Linked DNA regions of Oryzias latipes. The protein of the gene in region 3 interacts with the protein of the main gene of each other region in a pairwise test. Links are inferred from orthologs where the notes say so. Each region holds a gene or a part of one and is shown on either strand. Other genes may lie near its edges.

The links.
Region 1: the proteins of l3mbtl3 (region 3) and plekhf2 interact in binary tests that used the Homo sapiens proteins (3 or more experiments, as listed by UniProt). The two-hybrid records come from large-scale screens. The link is inferred for Oryzias latipes from reciprocal best matches to the Homo sapiens genes L3MBTL3 and PLEKHF2.
Region 2: the proteins of l3mbtl3 (region 3) and ngb interact in binary tests that used the Homo sapiens proteins (3 or more experiments, as listed by UniProt). The two-hybrid records come from large-scale screens. The link is inferred for Oryzias latipes from reciprocal best matches to the Homo sapiens genes L3MBTL3 and NGB.
Region 4: the proteins of l3mbtl3 (region 3) and ttc19 interact in binary tests that used the Homo sapiens proteins (3 or more experiments, as listed by UniProt). The two-hybrid records come from large-scale screens. The link is inferred for Oryzias latipes from reciprocal best matches to the Homo sapiens genes L3MBTL3 and TTC19.
Region 5: the proteins of l3mbtl3 (region 3) and banp interact in binary tests that used the Homo sapiens proteins (3 or more experiments, as listed by UniProt). The two-hybrid records come from large-scale screens. The link is inferred for Oryzias latipes from reciprocal best matches to the Homo sapiens genes L3MBTL3 and BANP.

Annotation. Positions count from the first base shown.
Region 1 is NC_019874.2:25,821,735-25,826,983, forward strand, and holds part of plekhf2 (pleckstrin homology domain-containing family F member 2), read left to right. Parts: intron 1-3,029; 5' UTR 3,030-3,040; coding exon 3,041-3,781; 3' UTR 3,782-5,249. UniProt on the Homo sapiens protein: May play a role in early endosome fusion upstream of RAB5, hence regulating receptor trafficking and fluid-phase transport. Enhances cellular sensitivity to TNF-induced apoptosis.
Region 2 is NC_019880.2:13,052,670-13,058,619, reverse strand, and holds ngb (neuroglobin), read left to right. Parts: upstream 1-1,929; 5' UTR 1,930-2,248; intron 2,249-2,351; exon of another isoform or gene 2,352-2,454; 5' UTR 2,455-2,490; coding exon 2,491-2,588; intron 2,589-2,935; coding exon 2,936-3,044; intron 3,045-3,122; coding exon 3,123-3,242; intron 3,243-3,342; coding exon 3,343-3,495; 3' UTR 3,496-5,561; downstream 5,562-5,950. Other genes in the region: protein FAM161B, read left to right, coding at 1-74, 302-383. UniProt on the Homo sapiens protein: Monomeric globin with a bis-histidyl six-coordinate heme-iron atom through which it can bind dioxygen, carbon monoxide and nitric oxide.
Region 3 is NC_019874.2:17,835,724-17,841,761, forward strand, and holds the start of l3mbtl3 (lethal(3)malignant brain tumor-like protein 3), read left to right. Parts: upstream 1-2,209; 5' UTR 2,210-2,861; intron 2,862-4,265; 5' UTR 4,266-4,289; coding exon 4,290-4,400; intron 4,401-4,601; coding exon 4,602-4,797; intron 4,798-4,950; coding exon 4,951-5,137; intron 5,138-5,218; coding exon 5,219-5,342; intron 5,343-5,470; coding exon 5,471-5,522; intron 5,523-6,038. Other genes in the region: transmembrane protein 244, read right to left, coding at 1,285-1,370, 1,678-1,710. UniProt on the Homo sapiens protein: Is a negative regulator of Notch target genes expression, required for RBPJ-mediated transcriptional repression. It recruits KDM1A to Notch-responsive elements and promotes KDM1A-mediated H3K4me demethylation.
Region 4 is NC_019875.2:10,841,136-10,847,126, forward strand, and holds the start of ttc19 (tetratricopeptide repeat protein 19, mitochondrial), read right to left. Parts: upstream 3,621-5,991; 5' UTR 3,584-3,620; coding exon 3,510-3,583; intron 2,848-3,509; coding exon 2,702-2,847; intron 2,624-2,701; coding exon 2,532-2,623; intron 2,332-2,531; coding exon 2,221-2,331; intron 2,119-2,220; coding exon 2,080-2,118; intron 1,860-2,079; coding exon 1,803-1,859; intron 1,732-1,802; coding exon 1,670-1,731; intron 1,597-1,669; coding exon 1,502-1,596; intron 1-1,501. UniProt on the Homo sapiens protein: Required for the preservation of the structural and functional integrity of mitochondrial respiratory complex III by allowing the physiological turnover of the Rieske protein UQCRFS1.
Region 5 is NC_019864.2:22,009,433-22,015,272, reverse strand, and holds the start of banp (protein BANP), read left to right. Parts: upstream 1-1,896; 5' UTR 1,897-2,377; intron 2,378-5,500; 5' UTR 5,501-5,506; coding exon 5,507-5,579; intron 5,580-5,809; coding exon 5,810-5,840. UniProt on the Homo sapiens protein: Controls V(D)J recombination during T-cell development by repressing T-cell receptor (TCR) beta enhancer function. Binds to scaffold/matrix attachment region beta (S/MARbeta), an ATC-rich DNA sequence located upstream of the TCR beta enhancer.

The DNA.
Region 1 (5,249 bases), about 8.0 Mb from region 3:
TAAGACCGAGTGTGACAACACCCACAGAAAATGACTATGCTGTGTTGGAGCCATCATGAGTAGTCATTGGTCCAAATCGGTCTGAATCATCGTTTCCATGGCAACCACTCTCACCAATCAGGGCTGTGCTTGTTGGATGTCCACGCCCCTACCACTTGAAAGTGAGCTGGGGAGAATCTGTCAATCAAATTTTTCAAACGTTGGACGTCCTAGTTTTATTGAGGCATCTGCTTGGTCAGTTTATAACTTTGGATAACTTGGAATAAAGAAAAATATCATGACAAAAATATCAGAATTAGCAAGAATATGTTAAAAATAAGTTGTAAAGCAACAATAGTTTTCCTGACAAATACAATATGTGAGTAATAGAAGTTTATTTCTCTATAGAACTCCGTGGGATTTTGGCTTCTTGGAGCCATAAGGTACCTCCTGTTTGGAACATGTGGGGGGAGAGGTCACTCAGTCCAGTTCTCATATAAAGTCAATGCAACTAACTCTAGGTTTTGAACTTAACTAGTCGAATCCTGGTCTGTTGGGATTTTTTTTTTCTTATCTGCTTTTAACTTAACCAGTAAAAGTCGGGTCATTTCCAAACTTGCATTCAGTAAATTCAGATCTTCTGATGAGATGTGGAGCTGCAACAAACGGGGGCAGCGATAGCCTAGAGTTAGGTTGAGAATGCAGCTTGTGGCTTGAGGGTTGCTGGTTTGATTGAACTGGCACAGTGTTGGGAGAGAACACCCCCCACCCCAGCCAAACTCCATTTGCTCCAGAGGCGCCTAAGCTCAGAGCTGCCCAATGCTGCTGGTCAAACCCGTCACAGAAATAGAACACGAGAGCTTGAATGTCCCCTGAGCAGTGCATGAAAAAATAATAATAATAGCGTTTGTCAGCGATTATGTTGACAATGTAAACTTAATGAGTGAGGCTGTCATTGTAAACCCATGAGAATCTAACCTGAAAAGGAAACCTATTTAAAAGCAAACACAGAACAGTTCTGTTCCCCATCTTCACTTCCAAAAGGATCCTGTGGCTCTCCTGTGACGGCTCAGAGAAAGTCAGAGCAATCTCTGACCTTAGAACGACACGATGACAGTGTTGTTGTCTGGTTGTTGGTATCCACAAGCTCTTGTTTTTGTTTATCTGCTGTCAAACAAAAGGATGAGCATTTTTGCCTAAAGCAAAATATGAAATCTCTTTATGACTGCTTCATTCTTTTTATTTATTATCTTGTTTATTGAGGCGAATACAAAAATGTTTGTAAAAAATCTAAACTATTTTGAATAATGTGATATAAGTTGGACCATAAACAGATCTTTTCAATCTATCAAAAATGAACTCTTATTCATTTGTGTATTTTAGGGTGAAATCTAAACGTCTGTTAGTGCTAAAGCACTTCTGAGCTCACCAGCTGCACTTGAACTGAGTCAGTGTTGAATGAAAGCTGCACTTTTAGGATTCCTTTGGATCCAGTTGAACAGTTTTACAATACTAAATCTGATTGCTGACCTGCAGTTTATCTGAACACTTCAAAGGAAGAGGCTTTGGTTGGAGCTGTCATTTGGGGTTGTGTGTAAGAGATAAAGTATAGGAATAAGAAGGGTGGAAGTAAAGTGTGGCTTTGTAATGCATATGTGCACTTTGGTTTGATGTTGCTTCAATACTCAGACATAGCGTTCGCTGTATCTGCTCTGCACTTGCCAGAAAGAATAGTTCCCCTTTCATCTTTATCATCAATAACCTTTGACCTCGCCTGTTGTACTTTATGAAAGGCAGAGAAAGACGCCAAGAGCCCAACTGCGCTGGCATCTGGGTCTCAGCGGCAAAGAAAATGTGTGTTGAGGCTTTCGTCTCTGTAGTCTTTTGAAACTGTTGTGAAAGCTTAAAAAAAGATTTAAGGATGAGCAAAAAGACTCTTCATCCTAATGTGATGAATGGAGCTCATAGAAATATGTCTACATGTCTTACTGTAGAGATGATGCTCATAAAAACAAAAACTTTTTTTTGAAAATGCTTCTGTAAAGTCAAGACTACTCGAGCATCAAGAGCACGGCCTTCTCTGTCTTTAAGTGAACATTGGTGACTGAACTCATTTTGAAATGAGAGGTTTTGAAATTTTCCCTTCTACTGGGGTTTTCCAATGGGGTTTCACGGTAGCAGTTAGCGCTCTCACCTCACAGAGAGGAGTCCCGGTTCGAATCCCGGCTAAAACCTTTCTGCGTGGAGTTTGCAGTTCTCGTCATGCATGTGTGGATTTTCTCCGGGCGCTCCGAACTTCCTCCCACTGTCCAAAAACATGCTTCAGAGATTCATTGTGCATGTGTGTGTGCGCATCTGTGAGAGTGTGTCTGCCCTGCAACAAACTGGTGACCTGTTCATGATGCATTCCTCCTCGGCTTAACAGGAGCTGGGTTGGCCCCAGTTATCGTGTGACCCGAAAACAATTCAGCAGGTTCTAAAAATGGATGGATGGGTTTTTAAATTCTGAAAATCCATGTCTGGTATTTAGACTTTTTTTTTTTGAATTTGTTAAACACCAAAATCTCCTATTTTTGAGTCATTAGACTATATTCCTGAAAAGTGTTAGACTTTAGGCTGTCTAATTCATGTTTGTTTCATGTTTTTACTCAAATGGTTTTTAGCTTTAATAAATTCTGCAAAAGTTTGTCTTTATGCGAGTTCAGAATTGTTGATGTTGCTGAGAGTTTATTTCTTATAAATAATTAATCTAAAATAATTTTGATTTTATCCCAAAAAATAGTCTTGTTAATTAGTTATCAGGTGAGCTGCGTTCAGCAGATTCTGCTGTCTGATCTGGTTAGTCACAGAGGGCAGCATTCCAAATCTGTGCTTTAAAAAACAAGAACTGAAAAATGACAAGGAGGGTTTGTAAGAAGAAGCAAAAAGAACAAGTCAAAAGCTGAAGCTCTTGTGCTGTTTTGCTCTTGAACATGAACATTAAAAAACGTCTCTATTCACTGAGCTGTTGCTTTGGACGTTAATTTGTTTTTATCGTTGTTTTCTTGCAGGAGAGGTGAAGATGGTGGACCGGCTTGCTAACAGCGAGGCCAACTCCAAGCGGATAGGAATGGTGGAGAGCTGCTTTGGAGCTGCAGGCCAGCCTCTCGCCATTCCGGGCCGCGTCCTGATCGGAGAGGGCGTCCTCACCAAACTCTGCCGCAAGAAGCCAAAGGCGCGTCAGTTTTTCCTCTTCAACGACATCCTGGTCTACGGCAACATTGTCATCCAGAAGAAGAAGTACAACAAGCAGCACATCATCCCTCTGGAGAGCGTCACCATCGACACGGTGCCGGATGAGGGCGACCTGCGCAACGGCTGGCTCATCAAGACGCCTACCAAGTCGTTTGCCGTCTATGCCGCCACCGCCACAGAGAAGTGCGAGTGGATGAACCACATCGGGAAGTGTGTGAAGGACCTGCTGCAGAAGAGCGGCAAATCCCCGACGGGCGAGCACGCCGCCGTGTGGGTGCCCGACTCGGAGGCGTCCGTGTGCATGCGCTGCCTGAAAGTGAAGTTCACGGCCGTCAACCGCCGCCACCACTGCAGGAAATGCGGCTACGTGGTGTGCAACCCCTGCTCGGAGAAGAAGTACCTCCTTCCCAGCCAGTCGTCCAAACCCGTCCGCGTCTGTGAATTCTGCTACGCCCAGCTGACGTCGGGAAGCCTGGCGCCGTGCTCAGACTCCAACAGCTGGTCGGAGTCGAGGTACAACAACAACCACTTGTCGGATGATGAGGACGAAGACGACAGCAGTGACTGAGAAATGCCCGATTCTGCTGCTTCCTCTGCTTTTTCAGCTTTATGCAAAAAGACTCTTGACATTCTCCTTCTTCACTTCCCTCCCTAATGGAGTCATGATCATCATGTAAAGACTTAACCACAGCAGAATGATTCATTCGTTTCCCTTTGAAGTATTATTTTTCCTTCAATCCAGCTGGATTGAAAGTTTCCTACAAACCAGCAAAAAGTGGAATTAACTGGATAACCACCAAAAATGGTCATCTCCTCTAATTCTTTTTGCTCTTCTAATGGCTTTGCATTTAGGCACTACAGAAACCAGAGGTGTTGGTGAGACCTCCCTCTGCGCAGTCCTCCGTACGAATGCATTTTTTTATGCTTCTCAATGTTTTCTGTCCATCGACTGACAGAAATCTGTCTGCAGGGAAAAGAAAATGTTTGAGCTCTTCCCTTTTGTTGTCCTTCACAAACCAGCCAGGGCTTTACTGTAACAGATTCATGCGTTTTTGCTCTATTTTTGTACATCTATTTTCTGTAAAATGACAAAAGAAATCCCTTTATTACACTAAATGCAGCAATATTTTAGTTGGCGTAGTTGCTCCTGACAGCTAAAGCTCGGTGCTCGACGTTTGTTCTCAGCAGCCGACCCAAAGCCCTAACTGGAGCCGTGGCCTTTACTGTCACGCATGGCCTTGTAGAAAACTGCACTCCTCAGGCGGGAAAAGGTAATGAAAGGTAAATGAAAGCAGGCGTCAAAAAAACAGGGACTTCATGATAGGTCCACTCTGAAACTTATTACCCTGGATGGGGCTGCTGTTCGGTGTGTGCGTCAGCAGGAAATAGAGGAGCGGGGAGTGTGACTGACCCCCCGCTGAGGCCACAAAGGGAAAGTTAAGTTTGTTTGCGGAAACACTTTTAAAACACTTTAACCAGCTCTTCGTCTTTAAAAGGGTAGATTTAGCTGCTAATTTTTTCGAAATTTGTGAGGATTTAGCTGATTTCTTTTTTTTTTTTTTTTTTCAAAATAAGAGCGCAGAAGTGGGAATTGGGTGCTTTGTGAGGCCAGTTCAGCTGAAAATGGGATTACAAATATTCTTCTTATTTTTCTTTGTACTGAATGCATTTTTAGCTTCATTTGAAAGTCAACATTCATAAGTTTGAACTTAACCACGTAGTTATTTTGAATTGTCAACACAGTGTTGTACAAAGCACTCGTCATGTGACCTAAAGGATTACATAACAAGCCTGAGGAGTGTTGGCGTCATTTCATCTGGATTCAGCATTACCTCATTGGTCTTTGCTTTGGAAACACAAGCAGGTGGAAAAAAGGGGAAAGTATCAAAAAGGGAAACATTTCTTTCACATACTTGGGTTTTGGGCTTTACTCTGCTGTGAGTTTATGTAAATTTGCTCAGAAATGTCAACTGATTCTGTCATTTTTTTTATACAAAATAGGTGAAAAAAATCAGAAATGTCACTGTAGAAGGACA
Region 2 (5,950 bases), on a different chromosome or scaffold from region 3:
GGTGACACTTCCAGATCTGATGATGACACCAAAACAAGCATCAACAGCGTTAAAAGTGAAAGCAGCCACATCAGGTATGAGATATTTCCTGCAAGCGTGTTCCTCTACTGTGTAAAACTACCATGTCCAGTAAAATTATGTTTAGCAGCGCTTCTGGAAAGCCAAGGACTTTGTGTGGTTTGTTCTTTACATAATTCTTTGACCTTAACTCCTTAGTAAAGGAAAGATAAGTGCTGTTGCCAAGTAAAAGTTTGACGTAATTACAATGTTGCCAATTTCTAACCCAACATGTCTGATTTAGGGAAGAAAATGCAGATGACTGGGAGAAAATTGAAGATGTGGAGAAGGAGAGCGTGAAGTCCAAAAGGGAAGAAACACCATGATCACAAAGGTCCAAGCGGGACACTGTATTTTTTTTCTATTTTGTGGCTTTTTTACAAGAAAACAACTCTGCCCTCAGAAATAATTCATGTTACAGAGGCGCCTTGATAGTAAAAAAAAAAAAAGTCCACTTCTAAAATATGAAATTACATATGATCTGTAGAATCACATATTTTTGGGATCATGGGAGAAGAAACCAGTTTATAAAATAAATAACCATGCATCTAAATACAAAACCTAGACCTATATTCCATATGTACTGTTTCAATTATATGATGATGTTCCTTCCAAGAAATCCATGACTGTAATCCAGGCTGTAATTTAGACATTGAAATCTTGGTTACGAAAATAAAAGCTCCAAAACTTTGAGGCTTAATTTTGCTTGATTGAAAAACCATTCAATAGCCATTTAAAAAGGGGAATGATTTTCAAAAAACCATCCAAAAATGCTTAGAATTTTTAAAATATAACTGTACCACTGCATGTGCTTTCATTACAAATGTCCCTCAAGAACAGCAAGCATTTCTTGGATGGTTGGGTTAAAGTTCCCTGTTATTTGTCGAGCTGCACCACCAGCTAAATAAACAGTCCTCTGTGTGCGTCTGCATTTGCTCAGGCCGCTCAGCGGTCCCCTCTGAGCCTACAGCTCCACATCAAATGCTCCTGTACCCTGGCCTCTGCTGTACTCTTGTGCTTTGACAGCTGCTTTTTTTTGCTTACAAAAAGGCAGCTGTCAGATATATATTTAAATCCACATGCTACAGAGTGATGGACTGCATCTTTGCAGAGACTTAAACAAACATCCCTTTAATGTGACTATTTAGATGAAAAGATGTATATTTTAACAATGTTTTAATGCTTAAACTTCTGCACAGGTTTCCATCACAGGTAATCGTGGAAACCCCTTTGAAACCTAAGATACCACATGGTATAGCTTCAAGGGCTCAATCCAGTGAGGTTGTCATGGGAACCCTCCATCCATCCATCCCCATTCTGCCATGTAGCCCCTCTGGAGAAAGCGATGCACCTCTGATTCCCTGATGCAGAGCTGAATAAAATACAAAATAAATAAGTAAGAAAAACATGTTGGGCTTCATCTCAAATGGAATCTGCATTTGCAAAATGCCTGAGAGACCAGAGGGAATGCATCTTATTTAAACAAACTGTATCATAAATGCCTGTGGAGGCAGGAGAAAGAAAAAAACCCACATCTCATTTAGATTAATGAGAGGCTGCACGCTTTGCCACTAAATGTTAGGATCAGGCTCTTTGAGGAGTGGCTCTGTTTACGAGATGAACAATGTAATTTTCCCAAGGTGGTATGTTAAGGTTTCTTTTTCTAACCATTACAATTCCCACACATCGAAGTTTTAGAAAATCATGGGTAAAAATGTAGGCAGCTGATGGTGCATTTGGGATTCAGCTTACATCCCACTATCCTGAAAGCAGCAATTATGCTGCCCTTTTTTTTGTTTGTTATTTAGCAGACTGTAACATAAAAGTTGCATGTAGAGTCTTAGTTCTTGATTCACCTGCAGGAGGAGCTGTGGCTCACTTAATCTCCTTGGTGGCATATAGAGAGAGATCCCGCTTTTTTCTCCTTCAGTGGCATAAATAATATCTTCAGAGAGAGAGCATATCAGAAGGCAAGCAGGAAGAGAAAAGAGAGAAAGATAGCAGCCAGCGTGACAATTGAGCGCGTGGCAGAACTTGTACCTTCCTGCACCGTGGGCTGAGGGAAAAGGAACAAGTGCACCAGAGTGGCAGGCAGCTGCCAGCAGCATAAAAACAGTCACACACAAAACAGACAGACCCCCAAGCTTCACTGCACCAGAGGAAGTTGAGGGAGAGGACTGACCTCCAGCAGGTACAGTACCACCATTTATCCTGCAATCATGGATCTCCATTTCTGTGCATATTCCGTCTGATGTGATGCTCCACAGTTTTTTTGTTTGTTTGTTTGTTTGTAGGTGGGTTAGGAGAAGTTTTATCTGTGGATTCACCCCCAATATTATGGCTTTCCTCAGACCGAGCCTTGTTGTCCTGTAGAGGAGTTGTGTGCTTTCCTTTCAGAAGAACTTGTTTTTGTGCTTGCGTCCCCGAGCAAAGATGGAGAAGCTGTCAGGGAAAGACAAGGAGCTGATACGAGGCAGCTGGGAGAGTCTGGGCAAAAACAAAGTTCCTCACGGGGTGATCATGTTCTCCAGGTGATCCAGCTCTACACATTCAGCATGTTTTCAAGGCTGTCCTTTCTCTGCACTGCGAGAATATGTTTTGTTAACCTTTAAACTGACAGAATTTTCCGTTTGTGGGTAAGAGTCTGCAATATGCAGGTGTATAGAATGTAGCTAGATTCTTGGCCGCACACTTTTACCATGCAAGGACTGAAGTCTTGAGTTGTTGCTTGGCGACAGACTGCAATAATCTACAATTTACTTTGTGACAGCTGCTGCTCAATCAGACTCCAGCAGGAGAAATATGTATATCCATGATTAATCCAGCATGAGGGTTTCATGAATGCACCAGCAGAATAATGGGATTTTGTTTGTTTTAGACTGTTTGAGCTGGACCCCGCACTTCTAAGTCTTTTCAACTATAACACAAACTGTGGCTCCACACAAGACTGCCTTTCCAGCCCAGAGTTCCTTGATCATGTTACTAAGGTGAGAAGTCTGTCCCACAAGTGCATATATAGAGGGAATGAATTAGTTAACACTATTAACTTGTATCTGGCATCACAGGTTATGCTTGTGATTGATGCGGCTGTCAACCATCTGGATGATCTCCACTCTTTGGAGGACTTTCTGCTCAACCTTGGGAGGAAGCATCAAGCAGTGGGAGTCAGCACTCAGTCGTTTGCTGTAGGGCCCACCTCTCCCAGTTCAGCTCTACTGAAGCAGTTCCATCATATGTGACTGAACTTGGGGGGAAATGATTTTGTGCTTGTCTTCACTCCGTCAGGTGGTGGGCGAGTCTCTTCTGTACATGCTCCAGTGCAGCCTGGGTCAGGCCTACACCGCAGCGCTGAGTCAAGCTTGGCTCAACATGTACAGCATCGTGGTGGCTGCAATGAGCCGAGGGTGGGCCAAGAACGGCGAGGACAAGGCCGACTGAGAGACAGCAAGAGCTGCTGAGCAGTTTGCTGTCAGATGATCAGCATGGTTGCCATGGAATGAGGTTGTGTAACTGTGCAGCATCAGCTTGGCTGCTGTACATCTGCTCTGTGACTGGGGGTTGTATAGCATAGCAAATGTGTGGTGTAGCTACACTTCTAACTGAGATGGATCTATAGCAGAGCTTGTTTGCTGTGGATGTTTAGCTACCTGGGAACGCTGTTGTACAGCTGAAAACCAGTTTGGTTCTTTTTAGGTCTAAACACATGAGAGGAAACCGTAGGAATTTTTCTCAGATCTCTGTAAATAACAGCATAGATCAATATACTGACATGATAGCAGTGACTGTAGTGGTCTTTGTGATGTATCTTGGAGTCACACACAACATATTATGTTTAGGCATCACACTACTCTAACTGTGACTGTTACTGTGGTCAACAAAGGCAGCTTTTTATCTAACTGGAACACAATGTTACTAAAAACTGTGTGGGGACAATGCAACGAGAAGGAGAAAATCACTGTTAGCATTACTTTTTATGCCTCACTTTGCATTTTTTTGGCCTTACTTTTCAACTATAATCTGAATTTTTTGCTACAATCAAGTTTATTTAGTGTTATATAATAGCTATTGACATGAACTGTTACACTCTCTTCGAGCTTTCTCCAGTAACTGTAAAGGTGTCCAAACACACCTTCATACATGTGGTGTTAAAAGCTCTCCTCACTCAAGGTTGTTAGTGTTTCAGTAGGCATTTAATGACTGTTAAATAAACACTAATGAATAGACTGTTATGTGACCCTTAGCCGGAAAGAGCATATTGGATGGATTCTGTCTTTGTTCTCTGCCAACAGTTTCCATTAATCGTCAGTGTAAAGTGGTTTTGTTGTGCAGTGGCTGTTTATCTTAAAAATGTTTATGAACTGTATTTTTGTGGCTGTTATAATCACATGTTTTAGCATAATCAGATTGGTAAACACAGAACCTTGGGTGTTTATCACAGCTACTATAACCTTGTAGATTTTATCCACAGTTGTTATTCAAAAATGGAAAATGCCAAGTAACTTTACAACAGTTTGCCAAGTATTAGATAACATTGTTGAACTGTAATTCCAAGCTGCCAATAGTTATTTTTTCTTTTAAGCTTATATTTATAAAGCTTGATTTTTTTTATTTAGATTATATTTTTTTTGTGTAGGTAAAGGGCATTGCTGTTTTCCCCAAATGTCATATCCTCATAAAAATTGATGCTTAGAAAACAAAAAATGCTTTTTATGATCAGAATACTACAGTTAAATGTGCATTTCTTATAGAAAAGAAATGCTTTTTTTTGAATGTACATCAAATTACTTTACAGAAGTCTGACTTGTCTTGTGTTCAGCCCACAGGTGTCATGTTTGTTTACTCCATGTTGTATTTACAATAATTCTTTTATGAGGCTCAGCCCTTGGAGCTATGCAGGTTTCCGTTACTTTCTGTTTTTTTAAACTCTTATTATGTAGTCCTGCTAACAGACAAGGGATTATTTTGGCATCCAGATATGTACATATTGGGTGTGTCACTGTCTACCTCATCATAATCAGCTGCTATCAAACAGTGATATGGTCACCTATTTCTCCTTCAGCCAAAAAATGGACATTACTGTAAGCTAAGCCAAGCTCTTAACCATGAATTCCACCCTGTGTTCAAAGACTGTTATGTGTTGCAGCTACTAAATAAAGTAATCTGAAGGGTATTTCACTGCTAATTGAGGTCAGTGGGCTTTCCTCCTGCACCTAATGTCAACAAATCAATCACCAAATGCTTGATTTTCTTCCAACTGACACCTCCTCTTGCAGCGTTACGTAAGATCTTTATAATGAGTGGCCGATCGCCCTCCACTGCAATGAGGCTGGCTTCAGGCATATCCACCCACTTACTCAAGCAGCTGCACAATGTCGCATCAAGAACATTTGGAGAATTTCACCAAACTGTTGACAGGGTGGGCTCCCCCTTCCACAACATGAGTGGTTAACAGACATGTCTTACATTTTGCAAATCCTGCAAATAAAGAGAGATGTAAAGAAGGAGTGATGACTTGTCTCAATTCAAATTCGTTTCTGTCATGAGCAATTTGGTTGCATCTCTGTAAAAGTCACATCCGTGAGTTGTCGTTCTGATCTGCTGCGGAAGTGGCAGCTGACCTTAATCTGTCTCCAGGCACTGTGCGCAGTATCCTTCTTCTGCTTCAGTCAAAGGGTGCATTCTCTTCAAAAACACACAAAATCGTTTTCCATTATTCTTGCCTGTGTGCTAAGAGTCAACCCTAACATTAGACAGTAGACAGATCAGTTTTAGACCTGAACTAAATGCTGATCCCCTCATGTCCTGCACTGGTGTTTCTATTCCAGACCGACAGTCTTCATCATGTTTTGAGGGTTTTCTTTGAGGACTGCCGTCTGTAAGAGAAGACAACAAA
Region 3 (6,038 bases):
GCTGCCCGTCAGTCACTGCGGCGTGTGAGTGTGTGTTTGGCTCCCCGTCTGCATGTGAGCAGTCTTTGTCACATCTACAGAACATTCAGACCTAAGATCACGTTTAAAGTCTCAACGCCTGCGTGAAGCAGAAACTCACCACGTATCAACCAGACTAGACCATCAGCAAAACTACCACGAGAAATACTCATCATTTATCAGCAACAGCATAACCATGTTATTAAAAAGAATCCACAGACTTATTGTACTTTAAAAATGTTGAAATTACATCAAATGCACACATTCATTTGTATATTTAGTTTTAAACATATTGTCGCGGACTGAGTTGGATGGCTGTTGGGCCGCGTTATAAGTTCTGGAGTTCATTGACCGCATCAAGCAGAGATCTGATTGGCTCTCAGTTCTGTCGCTCAGCCTGTTGTTAGGTAGTTTGGACCAATGGGGTTCAGCTATGGGCCGAATAAGGGAAATGGGAGGGCTGGAGCGGGAGCAGGTGAATATAAAGTTGGTAGAAGCGCTCTCTCTCGTCTCGTGTCGACAGGAGAGATTAAGGAGTTGCTGAATTAATTTTACGGCGTTTGTTGTGGTCTGCAGTCACCAGAATAAAGAACCTTAAAAGAGGTTAAGTCTCCGTGCCTCAGTGTGGGAAACTCTACATTATTGTATGGCTCTTTCGAAATTACATTTAAAAATATGTGGCGTTTATGGCTCTCTTGCCCAAAAAGGTTCCCGACCCCTGTTCTACAGTATATCAATATCCTTCTATAATCCATTAAAGTCCCTCTCCTATCATATTTTGATCTATTGTAAAAAAAATTCCAATGGTCTTTCAATTATGATTATGCCGTTTTTAGCAACAACAAAAAAGTGTGTTGCTTTCTAGGACATAGTTTCTGCAGAGCAGCATTCACCGCTGAGTTCTAGGCAGGACTGTTGGTGCTGAGAAAGCCTGTCCTCGTTTCCCAACATCCATTTGTTTACACTCTGTCCTGCTAGCTTACAGCCCCTCACAACCCCAACTTAACATTGGCAGTGCAACAAAAAAATGTGATCTATTTGTCTGCAATTGGATGCATCAGAACGGAACAGAGCATGGAATTTGTGCCCCCCGACTTAAGCACCTACTTCACTGCTACGTGTTTTTTAAAACTGCATTTTTTCATCTGCTCCTGCTTACAATGATTTGAACAAAGAAATACCCAGAAATGCAGTTTTGAACACCAAAAAACACAATTTCACTTGCTCTCCTCTGTGTAGCAGCAGTGCGCATGCGCGTGTGCTCACCTGAACGCGCCGAAGCACACGCTCCCGATCATATAGAAAAGAGAATAAAATATCAGCAGGCAGAGCAGGAGATTGAGCAGCACGGTCTGCAAGACAACACACGAGATGGTCATTTATTCAGTCTAAGATGTCAAGCATGTAATTTCACGTCCTGGGTGTGAGAAACCTGCCGGTTTGTAATAGAGAACATAGTGTTAAAGCAGACTGACTTCGCTTCACTAACAGCGCCTATAACACAAGTAAACCTGGCGTTATAATAAACACATAACACAACTGTGTCATATAATTTGTTAGTATCTGACATACATTATTGTCACTCGACAGACAGAATCGAAAAACATAATTTTAAGTGTTCCAGCCTCGCAGCACAGCACGGCGATGCCCTCCTCTTACCTTTGAATCGACCGCTTTGCCTTTGAATGCCATCTCATGATTTGCACTTGACGCTATACTGGAAAAATATTGCAGAAATGCAGACTGCAGCAGACGCCGCTAATCCTTCACAAACTGGACTCGGCGCGCCATCTAGCGGCAGAGAGGAGACAAGAGGCGGCGCCGCTACACGCCGCTATTATGGTCGAGCTGAACTCATTTCATTTCGTGTCAGAGCGACCTTTGTTAACAAAACAAGAGCTGTATTTTTGGTGTGCAGATTTATATTCATTTAATATAATGGCGTCTCAAAAATGTAGGTGAAATATTAGTTTGGGTAAAAATGCTGCCTACTAAATGAAAAAGAAGGTAATAGAAACGCCAAAACAATCTGGGTTAGCCGCTCAATATTTAGTACTAACACGGGATAAATAAGTCTTAGTAGTACCAGGACTTTTAAACTGAAAATATACAAACAAAACCGCACCGCGCAAATCGAGCTTTTCAAGTTAAAATCACTAAATCTGCATTCAATGATAGAAATGTTGTGATAGCGGCTTTTAAATCAAACATTCTGTTAATATCCGGGGTTAGTTTGGTGCATTACTTTGTCAGGTTCGGTACTTGTACAAACAGGAGGATGGGATGTTTAAGTCCGTTTTTATAGCCGTAGACTGCGGCCAGAAACGACAGTGTTACTAAAGAGCACCGGTGCACCGTCCCGTGATGCATTTGACTTTTTTCAAGTAGTCCTTTCGCTATTTTTGCGCACATTAGCGCATGTTAGCTCGAATACGACACGGAGACTTGGCTAATCGGAGCGCATTAGCACGGACTGTACTGCCAGAGAGTAACGTGGTTCAAATGGGCACGTAAACTGTTTGAACACAGAGGAACTAGACGCTTCTCGACGGTTAATGGAGCGCTGCGGTCCTGCGCTTTATGATACTCCTAGTTCTTGGTGACTTCATAGACTGTTCGTGTTCGGGGTGGGAAGGGGAAAGAGGAACCCCCCGTATCCTGCTGGGAGTATTATTATACTGGTACCGAACTGGGGTTTGGGCGCGTGCTTTGCGCACGCGTGCCTGCTATTGACCACTAAAAGTAAATTGAACTTTTCCGAGACCCAAAGTTGTCAGGCAGCGCATCTTGCACGCATGCGCATCGTCTATCCAGCTCTAAATAAGAGTTAAAACAGAAACGAGGTGAGTTCCACAATTTTCAAAACATTGCGGGCCTTAAATATTATTTATTGACGCGAACGTGGGCTAAATTTAGGGGGAAAACGGAGTTTAGTTTGATAAATAACATTAGTTTGCGTTATTTCCACTCTGATTCAAAACGGCGAGAATAAATCGTTTCTTTTTTCAAGTTTCTATTGAAGAAATAAATCAAGCAACAATGTTTAAGCTTATAACAGTGGCACGATCTTATTGTTTGAGTGCATTTAATATTTTGTTTGAGATCTGCGTTTCGCAAAGGCGTTTTCCCGGTGTTATTAAGTGGGAAACTTATTTATTACGGATCGTCCTTAGCTGGCTGCTTACAGTCACAATGCTAGGGCTAGCCGTGTAGCAGTTACCCGTTCATCTGAAGGGAGGAGGGGGCTAGCTAACTGTTAGCTGCAGCACTAGCTGCTGTAGCAAGCTGGGTTGACATTCCGTGACAAGGGGAAAGTGAAGAAAAATGAGCAGAGTGAATAAAAACACCATCTTGGGAATTACACGGAAAACGTCTGCATTTATTTGACGCACTACAGCTTTGCGATATTTGTTTAAACCGGTAACTTGAGTAATTAACATAGTTTGAACGTGTTGGTGGCCTCTTCCAATGCTCCGCCATTTTGTATAAGACGAATGCTAATCATCATGGGCGCTCTTAGAGACACTTTTATTTATGGCTGGAATAAAACTGAGGTTTCCGGCTTGAAGCCAAACTTGACCAACAATCCATAAGCTAGGATTGTTGTTCACTTTAACACTGGTTATTGCCGCGGCACAAACCAAAAATATCACCTTAATTCGGTGTTGAACATGCGTCAAGACTAAAACGTTTTTGCAGAATAACAGACTTCTTTAAACGTTTTTAAGTTTGGCTAGTGAGTGCAGAAAACAATGTTCTCTGTGAAATGGATGACTAAATATCCGCCTTACTTGCTCGTCACCCGGGAAACAGTCATCTTTAAGAGATACTGTTAAAACAAGGAAAAGATGAACTTGTGTGTTTAATTTAAAGTTGAGACATTTTTCGCCGGGCTTGTCAATGGTCTTGGTCACGGTTTACCCCAACGAGGTCGTTTGTGCGCGTATTTGCCCCTTAGTTTGCCGGTAAAACTGCATTATTATTGACTGTTTTTGTCTGAAATCGAAGTGCATGGTGTACCCGGCGAGCCGGCTCGCCGTCGCCATCTATTGGTGATGTTGCGTAAGGCTGTTTACAAGTGCAGAGAGGAGCTGCTTTTGGTGATTTCGGCTGTTTTCTCGTGTTAAAAACCCTGTCCAACTTTAACAACACAATAAAATGTTTCATCTTAGTCCTGCTGATCGGTTCTATGCATTTGGGTTCCATTGCACATTTCTTTCTTTTGTCACAGTGGTTTCTTGTTACAGGGTGGTCGTATCAGTGGAGTGGGGATGACTGACACTCCACCCAGTGATGGAGCCTCTCAGGGAGCTGAGTTTGACATGATGGGAGCCCTCGACTGGAAAGATGGGATAGCCACTCTGCCAGGCAGCGACATAAGGGTACAGTTCAGGTTTTTTCTGCATTCTGGTCTTTTTTTTTGTACAAAAATTGTCATCATTTTAACTCATGGTGTTTTATATAGTGAATTATCTTGATAATTTGGCCATTGAAATAATCAAAATACAATGTTATCTAGAAAATGGTCATTATATTCAATCAGCTGTTTTTTCTGTTGCTGTTTTCCCCCCTTGGTGCTTTAGTTCCGCATGACAGAGTTTGGGACTCTTGAGATTGTCACAGATCTGGAGGTCAAAGGGCAGGAGGCCGTGTCTAACAGTGAGACCTTGGACCCTGCGCCATCTCACACTCCCACCCCTCCACCAGAGGCCCAATCACAGACAGGCTCAGCTACAGCTCCAGCCAATCAGAATAAAACAGGATCAACTCAAACTAGAGGTATAAAAGCTTGTGTCAAACATTACTTTTATAAAGAACTACACTTTTCAGTTTGTAGAATACACTTTTTTTCCCTATAGTGATTTCTGGACACTGCATCCCCCTTTTATTTGCTCAGTGTTTCAGCGTTTAGTCATGTGTTTGTGTCTTTAGAGGAGGGTGGCAGCACGGAGGCCCCCAACATGGAGGTTGGTCCCAGTCCAGACGTTGGTTCCAATGCAGAAACAGGGCCTAAAGGAGAGCTGCTGAGGTGCAGGGCCTGCGGTGGTCGTGTTTCTGGAGTTGCCCTCTTTCAGGGCAAATTCTGCAGCTCTGCGTGTGCCCAGCCTTCCAGTGGCAGGTAAAAAACGCATGTATCTCCTTTTAAACAGTTTTTTATTCGGGTTTGTCATTTGGCAACACTAACTTTCTTCTTTTAAAGGTCATCTCCTGCCCAGGAACGGGAGAACCCTGCAGTTGAGGGGCTGGGGAAACGTGTGCGCAAAAAGAGGAAAATCTACATGGATTCTGGGAATGAAGAAGAGGACAACCAGGAGGAACCGGAGGTAGGAGAAAAATACACAGTAGTGTTAACTTGATGGCTTCTTACCTCACTGTTTTATTTTTAAGTTTGTAATTTCTATTTATTTGCTTTAAGTTCAAATGTTTAGTCTTTATATTTTATTTCTCACAGGAAAAGGCTAAGACCACCAAAAGTAGAAGGGGAGCCAAAATTGCAAAGCTCGGTATGTGAAATTGCTATTATTCATATAATTAAAAAAAACACACAATTAATGTTGAGTCATTGTATTTTTTTCTTTCATTTAAGAGACATTAAGAAGAAACTGAAATTATCATTAAAATGGAGTTTTGCATCCTCATACATCTTTGTAGTTTCCTCTTTTCTGACTATGATTCAATTTGAAACGACTGTGGGAAAAGAAAGAGGGAGAACTTCTTTCAAATTTGACAGTTTATTGATGGATCTGAAATCATTTAGTCATTGGAGGAACCTTTCTCTTCTTTATCTTTACAGCTGAGCTTTTTGGGATCCTTTTTCTAGGATTCTGTGCTAATTTTAATAAACCACAGAAGAAATTTTATTCGTGGCAAGTTTTCCCCCCATGGTTTTTATGACTATTTAGTATGTTTTGACATAACATAAATATAAAAACTTTCGAATGTATATTTAAGTATGATAAATGGTGGGTCAATATGATAATAAAAGCCTAGTTTTATTAAATGAACATTTGTTGAATTGC
Region 4 (5,991 bases), on a different chromosome or scaffold from region 3:
GTCATTCTAGAAGCAGCTGATCTAAGAGGATTGAGAAGGGGTAGGCCAATATTAGGAAAACTCGCAATTTGCGATATTAATGATGATTAATATTATTATTATAAATAATAAATATTATTATGATGAAATAATATTACATGAAAAAATAGTAAAACAACCAAATCCATCATTTCCATTTAATTGCAACAGTTTTATTGAAATAATAACATAACTTAAATTACACTCTAAATGACCCTCGTCTACATAGGAGGCGGGCATCTAGCATAGAAGTCGTCCATCCAATTAGTCAAAAGGATTTTTTTTATACGTTAAATACTTCAAGTTTCCATATGATTGTTTTAGCACATTAAAGGTAACCATTTATTGCAATTTTCCCCGTCTTTTCTGATGTGCGTATTGCACAGCTTGATATCGTGATAACAATACATTTGCGATTTGTTGTGCAGACCTAGGAGGGGGCTTAAGGCTGCAGGAGCCCATTGAGATAACGAGGCGGCAAACCATGAAAGGATTTTAAAACAAATAAAAGAATCTTAAAATGAATTCTAATATGAATAGGAAGCCAGTGTAGTGAGGCTAAAAAAGGGGAGATGTGATCATATGTGATGCCCCAAAACAGACTAAGAGGCAAAAAAAAGACCTCACAGCTTCACCTGAATAAAAACTGGAGACAAAGTTGTCTTTTGAGTAAAATTGCAGTCATTGTTTTTAGGTAGTGGGTTATTGCTAAAATAAACAGACCTCATGATAATGAAGGGGGATCTAGTTTAGTTTAGTCTGAATTGAATTGAATAACGATATTGTTCTTCCTTTGAAAAGGCTTGGGTCAGAACTTGCTAAAAAACAATCTGGCTTACCAGAACTTTCCTGACCTAATTTCAGCGTTTGACATAAGCGGTTATCCGGTTGTCCGAGACAACCAGATTTCACGGAGGACAACCAAATGAACCTGATGGTTGTCCATGTGACAACCTGATCTTTTGTTCAACATTTTGGTATTTTTCGACTATTTTTCAAGTTTCAATGGTTATTATTTGGCAAACTCTGAATTGAGACCTATGCAGCAAATTCTTTCCACTGACAAACGAAGTGCATGCATGCAAGCGAATCCTTTGTTTCTACATCTGTACTTTTCAATAAAGATTACCGGTTTTCAAATACGTGTTGAACAATACCTGGTGCGACCGCTAGAGGTCTCCAAAAACACACAAAAGGATTTTGTTTTCAATTTTTTGGCAATACTTTGTGTAACCAGATGCTTCAATATTTAGTCAAATGTTTGTTTTTAATATTTAAAGAGTTTTTTAAATGTCCATCATAAGAGGCAGTTGATATTAGATGTATAGAAGAAATAAAGATGTAAGTACTGACATCTGAGTAGGTTTCGTTGCTGTTGAATATTGGTATCGAAGGACAACCAAAAATTGGGGAGGACAACCAAGTTTACTTGCCAGGTTGTCCCTTATTTCTAACACTGAATTGTCACCTGTCAGTATCTCACCTGTCTGCTTTTCTGCTGGAAGCTCTTTGTGTTTCTCCAGTTTAGCCTCCAGAGATTCTGTGCAGAACTTGAAACCATGTTCAGCAAGCTCAGCCCTCAAAAAACGACAAACTCAGGTCAGAAAACTCTGAACTTCCACCCAGATAAATCAGTTGGCCCGCCTCTCACTTGTTCCTCTCAGCATAGATGGTGGCCAGTTTCAGAGACATCTCGATGACGGCGTTGTCGTCCTGGAGGCAGAGTCAGCTGTGAGACTGCAGCTGTTCCGTTCAAATACAAATGAGGCGCCGGCACGACTCACCTCTGGAGTTCCTCCTGACAGCATGAAGCTCATGGCGGCTTTGAAGAGTTTCTCTGCCTGAGAGGAAGAGGAGCACAGATGAAGATGTCAGCTGACAGCTGAGAGCTGCAGGATATCTAAAAAGAGATAATGATGTGCAGGAATAAGAGTTACTCCTAAAAGACAAACCCAGCTTCACATAAAGTGAAGGAATGTATCTGATAAAAATGACAAACATGTTACAGTTTAACCACTTCCACAAACGGTTGTGACTATGCTGCAATGAGCCAATACTCACATTCTCCAGCTGACCCTGAACGTAGGCAAGATTGGCCATCTGAAAAGCAAAACAAATCTGAGTCACGTAAACCAATAATGTGGTGGTAGACTGCATTGTTAAGCTGCATGACAGCTCCTGCCTGGACAGGTGAGAGCTCACCTGGCTATAGGTGTAGATGATGGCCTGTGTGTTGTGGGTCTGATGAGCCAGAGCGACAGCCTGGTGCAGAAAGGAGGAGGCGGCCTGCATCTGACCACGGTGGATGCTGAGCTGTGTACGAGTACAAACAGTAAAAATATCTTTACTTCGCTGCAACAAAACACTACAACATTACTGTAACAATGCCACAGCCGCTCCATCGTAAACCTGTTCCTCTACAGGTGACTCTCCGTCTCTGCACCGTGCACTGTGCACTGTGCACGTGCAACATGCAGGAGTTCCTGCTTCTGTTTCAGCCCGGCTTATGGTACCTTTGCTTTCTTCAACAACAAGATCATCTCATCCTCCTTCTTCTGAGCTTCATCCCGTTTGTTTTCCTCAGAGCTGCTGAACAGGGAGAAGGCTGTGCGTGTGCACACACAGTCAGCACAAAGAAGAAATACACGTGCAGTTTTTGAGACTTTAGTCTGACCGAACTCACCGACTGCTGCCCACAGAACTCCTGCTCCTGTCTGGACGTTTCTCCTGAAGTGTCCATGTCTGCTCTGCGCTATCAAGCATCTGGAGCTGGCTCCTGCCTCAGGTTGTGATGTCACAGAGAAGCTCTGAACAGCAATGGAGCGCCGCCTGGAGAAGAGAAAAATATCTATGCATGACAAAAGCAGGCAGAGCTGTCCTGATTGTCTGATTAACAGTAGATGACAGAATTAAAGATCTGTCTCATAAGCCTAATTTTAGAATGATTATGGTCATCAACATCTGACATCAGATATTCATGCACCCATATTTAGCTTTGAAACATGCCTGATCTGTTGTAATATCTGTAGTAATCTGTATGTATTGTGTCTGTACAAACTGATCTGAGGTAATAATACGTTTATTTATCTACATTTTAATACAGATTTTTTTCCCATTTCAGATTTTATGTTTTGCTTTGGTCACATGACAGTCTTCAGGGATCTGGTTATCATTATCATCAGCTGGTTTATGCACCTCTTCTCACTCTTAATCCAGTGTAATACAGCAACAATATGTATTCTTATTAATTTGTCCCCTGATCTAATTTAAACTGGGAGTGTTTTTAATGATATAATAGTGAAAGAAATGCCGGTAAAACCTGTTTGAGCTGACGCTGTCAAATCAGAGGACACCTGAACGCACCACGTCCTCAAGTTTAAGGCGCGCGGCAGAGAAAGCCGCAGCTATCGAGCAGACTCTGAGAGCGGCTGACGGCTCCCACTGACGGAATTCTCCACTCAGTTAGGGTGGGTTAAAGGACACGAACTCACCTGAGTCCCGCCGAACCAAAAATCCCACTCTGAGTCCGGCGGAGGACGGCCAGGACCGCACGGTATGCTGCCATCTTGCCTGTTTACACAAGACCGGAAGTGACGCTTCAGGATGCACTTCTTCATAATAAAAGACGTACTGAAAATTATTTTATTTTGAAGCAATACAACTGAACGTTTGGCGAATGAGACACGACCCGTATTTACAGTGAATTCGCTTGTGGGTCCTTTCTGGCTATAAATTATAATTTTGCACATTTTCAGCTATCTCTATTTTAGTTTCAAAACCATTAGGATTTCTATATGTTGTTTGCTTTTCTTTCCTTTTCTTTTTTTTTTTTAAATATTTTGGAGAAAAAACTGATGCTCCTTAGAAACAAATAAAAACTTCAGGAAAGTTTTAGCTATGCATATTATAAACTATTAATTGTTCATTAAATAAGAGGCCCTTTCCCTGTTTTTATTTTTTGTATGGTACTTGTCTTGAGTAAGTGATAAAATAATTGGTACCAGGAACTTTTTAGTTTGTTGTCATTATTTAACCCTTTTAAGACAATTTTCTTGTTTTTTTTAACCTTGTATAGGTTAAAAAATACGAAAATAGGAATAACACTATAGTGTATTTAGTCGAATTTAGAGAATTTTACCTTTTTTTCAGGTATTTTGTCCATTTTTGCAGTCAATATTTAATAATTTACTACAGTTTTCTTCCACTTTTTTTGTGTTCTATGTCATTTCAAAGTTATTTTTAAAAATGTATTATATAAAGTATTTTAGTCTTTTCATTTCCTTTAGTGTTTCAGCATACTTCAACTTTTAGTACTCACTCAAGAATTTCTTTTATATATTTGATAATGATGTTGTAACATGACATATAAAACAAAATAATGACAGCAAATCAAGACAGTTCTTTGTTTTGGTTTTATTGTAAGTTTCATTTTTACTTTTCTTCAAGATGCATATTTACAATATTGACAATTGTTTTCCTTGTTTAACTAGACAGACACATCCATCAGAGAGCAGGTAGAGCCAAACATCAGACCTCGGACATCAGCTTTGACTAACGTTCAACCCTTCAAGAACAGGTCCAGACTTTATGTTTCAGATGAACTAAGACCAGGTTTCAACCCAGTGAAGCACAGATGGAACAATAACAAGCTTTCTTTTTAAGCTTTGTTTGTTTCTTCTCCATTTATGTGGTCTCTCATAACCGCAGAGGCTGACGAAAATATTTTATTAGAAGAAACCAATTGTTTAACTGTTGGGTCTCACTTCCTATTACTGTCACTACCCCTAATGTCCTGCTGGTTTTAAACATAGAGGTTCACCAAGATTTTCTTCCAGAAAGCAAAAATTCTTAGGTTTTACTGGTAGGTTTGAAGATCAAGCTATTTTGTGTCACCCACATTGACTGTATGAAAACTGGACTGAGTGACGAATGTCGCATTCAAACAGGAAGTATCCGTCACTTCCAAGACGCTAAAATCCCATCGACTTTTATAGAGAAATAGACAACTATTCTTCAGTCATCATACTTGAAGAATAACCATTCTTGCTCTGATTCCTTTATTAACATCTTCTTTCTTCTTTCTAATCCTATTTTCATTATATTTTTCTGTAGAAAAGGTTATTCAATTTATAAACTTACCAATCAGATGCTTCAATAAAAGTATGTCGTCACACGTTTAATGTTTGAAGCGTTTGACAGATTCTCCTGAGTCTGCTTTCAAGTGGCAGGGGTGTAGTCTTCTAACAAGCTCACTTCTGATTGGTAAGCGTGGTTCAGTAGATAAAATGACTCACTGCATACTGATGTCTGGCTCCAACATGGCAGCGTGTATATGGTAAAAATAAAAATAAGCGACTGAATTGACTTCATTTGGTTTGAGCTAGAAGTAAGCCATTTTCTATGGGTGACGTCACACTCTGTCCAGTTCTCTTATACAGTCAGTGGTCACCCACTGTCAAACCATCACACAATCAGCTTACTGTATAGATATTCTCATTTATCGAGTTAAATTCCACCAAGTAGTAGGTTAAAAAAAAGGTGGGAACTCATGAACCAGCTGATAAACCTGTTTCAGTTCACTGTTTTCTTTTATCTACTACTTACTCTATAGTGAAGCTTCAAACGACCAAAACACAAGCTGCACATTGTCATACAAACTTGCAGCACCCCCACCAGTCTGTGACCATTACTACAATATCTTGAGTCATGAGACAGCTCATTATGGGATTCTTTTAATACAAAAATGAGACCAGGATATGACACAAAACAGTTTGATATAACAGCTGCACATTCTGACTTAGTAAAGCTGGATTAAAAAGAAAATCAGTTTTTTTCTAACTCAATTTGGTCTTTTCTTAGAAAACGTCATATTGTATCCACGAGGAGGTCCAAGTCAGGGTCTCATTGTTCCGGTCCCAAGCCCGGATAAATACAAAGAGTTTTGTCAGGTAGGGAATCCGACGTAAAAAATCT
Region 5 (5,840 bases), on a different chromosome or scaffold from region 3:
TCAGCACTCAGCCCCTTCATGTTTGCAATGGTGATGGACAGGCTGACAGATGATGTTAGACAGGAATCACCATGGACAGTGGTGTTTGCAGACGATATTGTGATTTTTAGCGAGAGCAGCAAAGAGGCGGAGGAGAAGCTAGATAGATGGAGGTTTGCCCTGGAAAGGAGAGGATGGAAGGTTAGCCACAGAAAGACGGAGTACCTGTGCATAAATGAGAGGGACCCAAGAGAAAGAGTGAGGTTATAGGAAGAAGAGATAAAGAAGGAGATGGAGCATTTTAAGCATCCAGAGTCAACAGTACAGAGTAATGGACAGTGTGGAAAAGAAGTGAAGAAGCGAGTGCAGCCAGGTTGGAATGGGTGGGAAAAAGTACCAGGTGTAATGTGTGATAGTATGAGGTTCAATTGGACCAAAGACATAGACAGTGGGCACAAAAACATGTTTTTGGCACAAATGGAACCTCATATTTTTCTGGCAACGTGCGTTTGCAGGAATATCAATAAAATGTATTTAAAGAAAACGTGTTTGTCATGGTTAACGCTAGCGCCGGCTTTAATAAACCTTTTTTTTGTTTCGTTCCGTGGTAGTACAGGAAACAATTAACCGACCGTACAAAGGACTTTTCTGACGACGAAAGACAAATGCAAAGTTTTAAACATAACGCATGAACCAAAGGTCAATGAACTCGTTCAGTAGACATAGACAAGGGACCAAAGACATAGACAGTGGACACAAAAACATATTTTTGGCACAAATGGAACCTCATATGATAGAAGAGTTTCAGCTCAAATCAAAGGAAAGTGGCACTGAGGAAAAGACAGGAAAAGGGCTGGAGGTTGCAGAAATGAAGATGCTGAGGTTTTTCTTGGGAGTGAACAGGATGGATTAGATAAGGAATGAGTACATCTGAGGGACAGCACATGTTAAAGGTTTTAGAGATCAAGTCGAGAGACCTAACTGAGATGGTTTGGACCATAGTGTCCAGAAGAGAGGCAGTGAGTAAGTATATTGATGGAAGGATGATGAGTCTAGAGCTGCCAGGCAAGAGGTGGATGCAGTGAACGAAAACGTGACAGTTTTTGGTGTTAGAGTAGAGGATGCAGAAGACAGGGTTAGAGGGAGGAAGGTGATTTGCTGTGGCGACCCCTGAAGGGAAAAGTCCAAAAGGAAAGAAAATGATTAGAACATTATGCCATATGATCACGTGTCTTTGCAAAATTCAAAGGGGGGTTTCAATACATTGAAGTGAAGAAGCAATAGCTTGATGTCTTGATCCTGTTTTGGTGCCTTCCCGTGTGTTGCCTGCTGTGATGGCATTTGGTCGTTTTTATGTTATAGTAAAATAAACCTTCTGTGCCTCAATCCAAATGGTATTTCCCAATATCAATATAATCAATTTATTTCATTTTGAAAAAAGTTTATGATGGTATATTGATTCAGTTACCAAATTGCCTCAGACAGATTGATCTGGTTGGATTGTAGAAAAATAAATGGATTCATCAATTCAACTATTTACAAATACGGCCTCCTTCACTTGATTACAATTTGGCTAATGCAGGACTGAAGGGCTTCATACAACACCTAAATAAATTAATAAATAAAATACATAAACAAAACATGGATAAAGAACAAACGTGTATTAACACACGTTGAATCACAAACATGGCAACAAGAGTGTCTCTCTAACAATTAAATTAAAAAAATGTTTTTAAATGACTGGTTTTGCAGATCTTTAATATATAAAGATCTGCATATATATATATATAATATTTGTATAATTTCTTTTTAAATAATTTGTGTGTTGTCTTAAATGTTGATGGTGTGTCATTTTCTCTATTTTCCCTCACTGTTCAAATCAGAACACAGAGTATCTGAAACTATCTCGAAATTGTTCAGCTGATAACAGTTTTATACTTTGTTCTTTAAATAGTTTCCCCCTGCAGTTGTTACACGAGATATTGCTGGTAGCGTTGATTTTTCTGCTCAAATCGTTGGCTTAAAAAATAACGAAAGACATCCATGTGCAGGATCCTTTGTTTATTTTTTAGTTTGTGAGGAAGTAATCCTAAAAACAAACTTAAATTTGATAGTTCAGTAAACATCCGCTCATATAAAGGAGCATTTCTTTAATCATAAGATTTTAAGGCGGTCGGTAGTTTTGAGCAAAGTGTCAAAGTGTTTTTCTAAAAGAAAACTTTACACCCTGACGCTGATCTCATATCTAATGAAGAGTCGGCACGTTCCCCCTACAGGCTGTCTCGGCGGTCGCAGCCAGTCGGCGGAGGAGCACAGGAAGGCACGAGCTCATCTCTCGCGAGGAACGACGCCGTTATCGGAATCTCTAGAAACAACACGAGAATTCGTCATTCACACGGTAATATAAGCCCACTCTTACACCGTGCAATTGACGTGTGTGAGCAATGGTCTACGAATCCAAGTCAAAATCATCTTTCATTTTATTTTAATTTTTTACGTTTTAGCAAATACTTCGTTGCGTTTCAGCGGCCTGTAGGCCTAACTAGCATGCTAACGACTAAGCTAGCTGAAATAGCGCTCTGTTTGCGTTGCTTAGCTCTCAAATCGGATTGTGCTAACTTTAGCCATTGCCAGTACATCACTGCTCTGTGCTAATCGAAACTTGTTATAATGCACAGCTGTGATCTCATGCAGTTGTAATAAACTGTACTTTTCCTGAAAAACAATAATCAACATCTATCAGGACCTATGTTCCTTCAATTGTTTAGTTCATTAATTTAAATCTCCTCCCATTTACTGATACTGATAGCATACAGTTAAATAACTGCATCGTTACTAGCAAGGCAAAGATGAAATATATTTAGTGGAATGAAAGGTAGAAGGCTTGAACAAAGTCTGGCTTTATCATTATTAAGATAAACCACCAGTTTACAAATAGTAAGGCATTTCTGGTCGTTTTTTTTAAACTATCACATCTTAATTGCTTTGAAACAAATTCATACATTGACATGTGTATGAATGTGAAAGTATTTCTCAAAGTGCATCAACTAATGTCATAAAATTGCCAGTCTGATCTACTTTTGCCCCAATCCATATACAAAAAAAGTACATTTGATTAAATTATACATCCAAATTAGTATTTGCTAAAAGTGACGTAAACAAATCTATTTGTATTTTGATTTAATTAAAAAATTAAATGGGGAGACTTGAGTTTAACTGTTATGCCATTTAGCCACAGCTTGTAAAGAAAAATACAGCAATGCCAAGCACACATGCTTTGTTTAGAAGGTGGTCATTAGCCTTAGTGATAATTGTTTTACATAAACATAAAATTGTGTTTTAATTAAATTTTTACTTTAAAATAACCATTTATTGGAAAAACAAACAATCTTCCAATACTGTCATTTACATTGGACTTTAATTCATATACACTGTTTTAAAATTAGTTGAATCAGGAAAATAAAATACTTTTAACTACTCTCGCCTTTGCAGGCTTTTAATTATGACACAGATTTATGGTATTGGGGAAACATTTTAGATATAAAGGACTTGGGAAAACAAAACAAAACAAGAATTATAAGTATTTTGACCATAAATAATGCGTAAATAGGTTAAAAGAAACGAGTACCACAATAAAAATGTTCCTAAACGTGAAAACACTTCAGCAAATATTAACTATTGTATTTATTTATGAAATTTGGGGAAGTTTAAATGTCCACTCATTTTTTGGACTTATCATTTAAAAACAGTAATTTTTATCAAGAACCGTTTCCAAAACTATGTTTCATGACTATATGACACATGAAAAGCAGATTTTGAATTTTAGCTGCAGTTTAGTCACATGAAGCAGAAAGTGTGCCATTCTATGTTTAACTTGCTAGTGATGAACATGTAATAAATCCTCAAACTTAAATGCTTTAAAAATGTCATAGAACTCATTATAATTGCATACTCAACACATGCATTGACTTCAAAGCATTTATGTACAACTGTTGTCAAACACAATTTCATAACTGGTATTAAGCTAATAGGATTTGCTTGAAAACCAGTTAAATTTGATTTGTTTCCTCAATTATGGAGTTTGCAATATGTGTGGAAAAAGGCCCAATATTAAATGCATTGGCAATAATCTCTGCAAGTATTTGATTTGGCCCAATAAGGTAATCAAGCTTTTTTCAGGCTGTGTAGTTATTAGTCAAAAGCGCTAAGGCTCAAAATCATACAATAAAGACCTTGTCCAGTTTGGTGTGGATGCACAAAGCCACTCTTGATGCTCTGGAATGTACAGGTTTCAATCGGTGATACTTTTTCTTAAAGTTCAGTCCTACAGGAAACAAAAACAGTGGCTTACAAGGGTCGCTTCCTGTTATCCTTTCCAACAAGCCTGTTTGAAATGGTATGGTTGCCAGGAGCACACATTCCCTCTATGAAAGGAATTTTTGCAAGTTACAATTGTGGAAAGCTCTGAAGATTTCTTTAACAAAAGACAAATAATGCCCCACTTTTTGAAAAATTAAACACAAGAATTTATCGTTGTGTAAATGAGACCAGAGTCCACTTCAATGAATGTAGTCTTAAAGTTCTGTTTATTTTTTAAAGTCAAATGCAAAGATCTGTTTGTTAACTGCATTTTGTTTTAAACAGCAAAAACGGAGTCTTAAGGAAGTGAAAAAGACCCTTCTTTCCTGAAAAATGTGTCTTATTTTCTGTCTTTCCATCCATTTTCTTAACCTACTCTATCTTTTTTGGGGTCTCGGGGCTCCCGGAGCCTAAACTGGGTCATTTTGGGCAAGGGTAGGGTACACCCTGCAGGGCCACACAATTACACACACACCGAGTCGCACCTTGGGATGTGACCGATGAAGCGCGTCTATGGATGAAGGTCGATTGCCTGGAGAAAATCCACACATGCACAGGGAAAACATGCAAACTCTTCACAGAAAGGACCCAGTTTGGATTTGAACCAGAGCCTTCTCATTGAGAGGTGAAGGCAGCAACCTATTCTTTCTTGTCTTGCAAGAAAAAGTTTTTCTAGTAGCAAATGAAACTTTGTTTAAGAAAGCATGCCCAAGTGACATCTAAAGAACATTTTTGAAATTTTAAGTAGTTTTGATGAACTTTATAGTGGACTGTGGTCTGAGGCACAGCAGCGCATTTAGAATAGATTAAAGAAAAAAAGAAGTTGTTCAAGTCAGTCAATGAACGGCAGTCAATGAACTGCAGTTAAATTGCCAAACCCCGCCCCCTAATAAAAAGCAAAACTAAAAAACAAGTGGAAGTTTCTCTAAAATGACAGGGGAGGTAATGTTCATGCACACAAGTCATAAAAACATTTTCTTCTGAATGTACATTTATAACTTCTTAATAATCATTTTGGTTTTTATAAAAAAATTACCATTTTCTTCTTCATGTGTTTCTTGGTTTTAACATATATAAACATCTTGAGGTAAAAGATGACTGTTATTTTATGTCGCGTAAAGGCGCGTGGCAGCTCATTTTTCCTCCCCATGTCTCTTTTCAGTTATGAATGATGTCTGAACAAGAGTTAGATGACATCGTGCAAATAACAGTGGAGGACTTTACACACCAAGACCGCACTGGTGAGTTTTGCCAAAGGAGTTTAAAAAAATTAACCATAAGAAACATATTTTTTCTCTATCTTTTATAGACCTTTTATTTGTTGGATATCCGCACTAATAATTAATGGACATTTTCATTTAAGACTTTAAGTCCAGCTATTTTAACTACTCTTTACCTAAGGCAAGAAAATATATTCTATGTTGAGTGTGTCTTTTTTTTTTAAGTATAATTTTATATTTCAATGTGTCAGAAATGCTTGACAATCATGAGGACGACGAAGA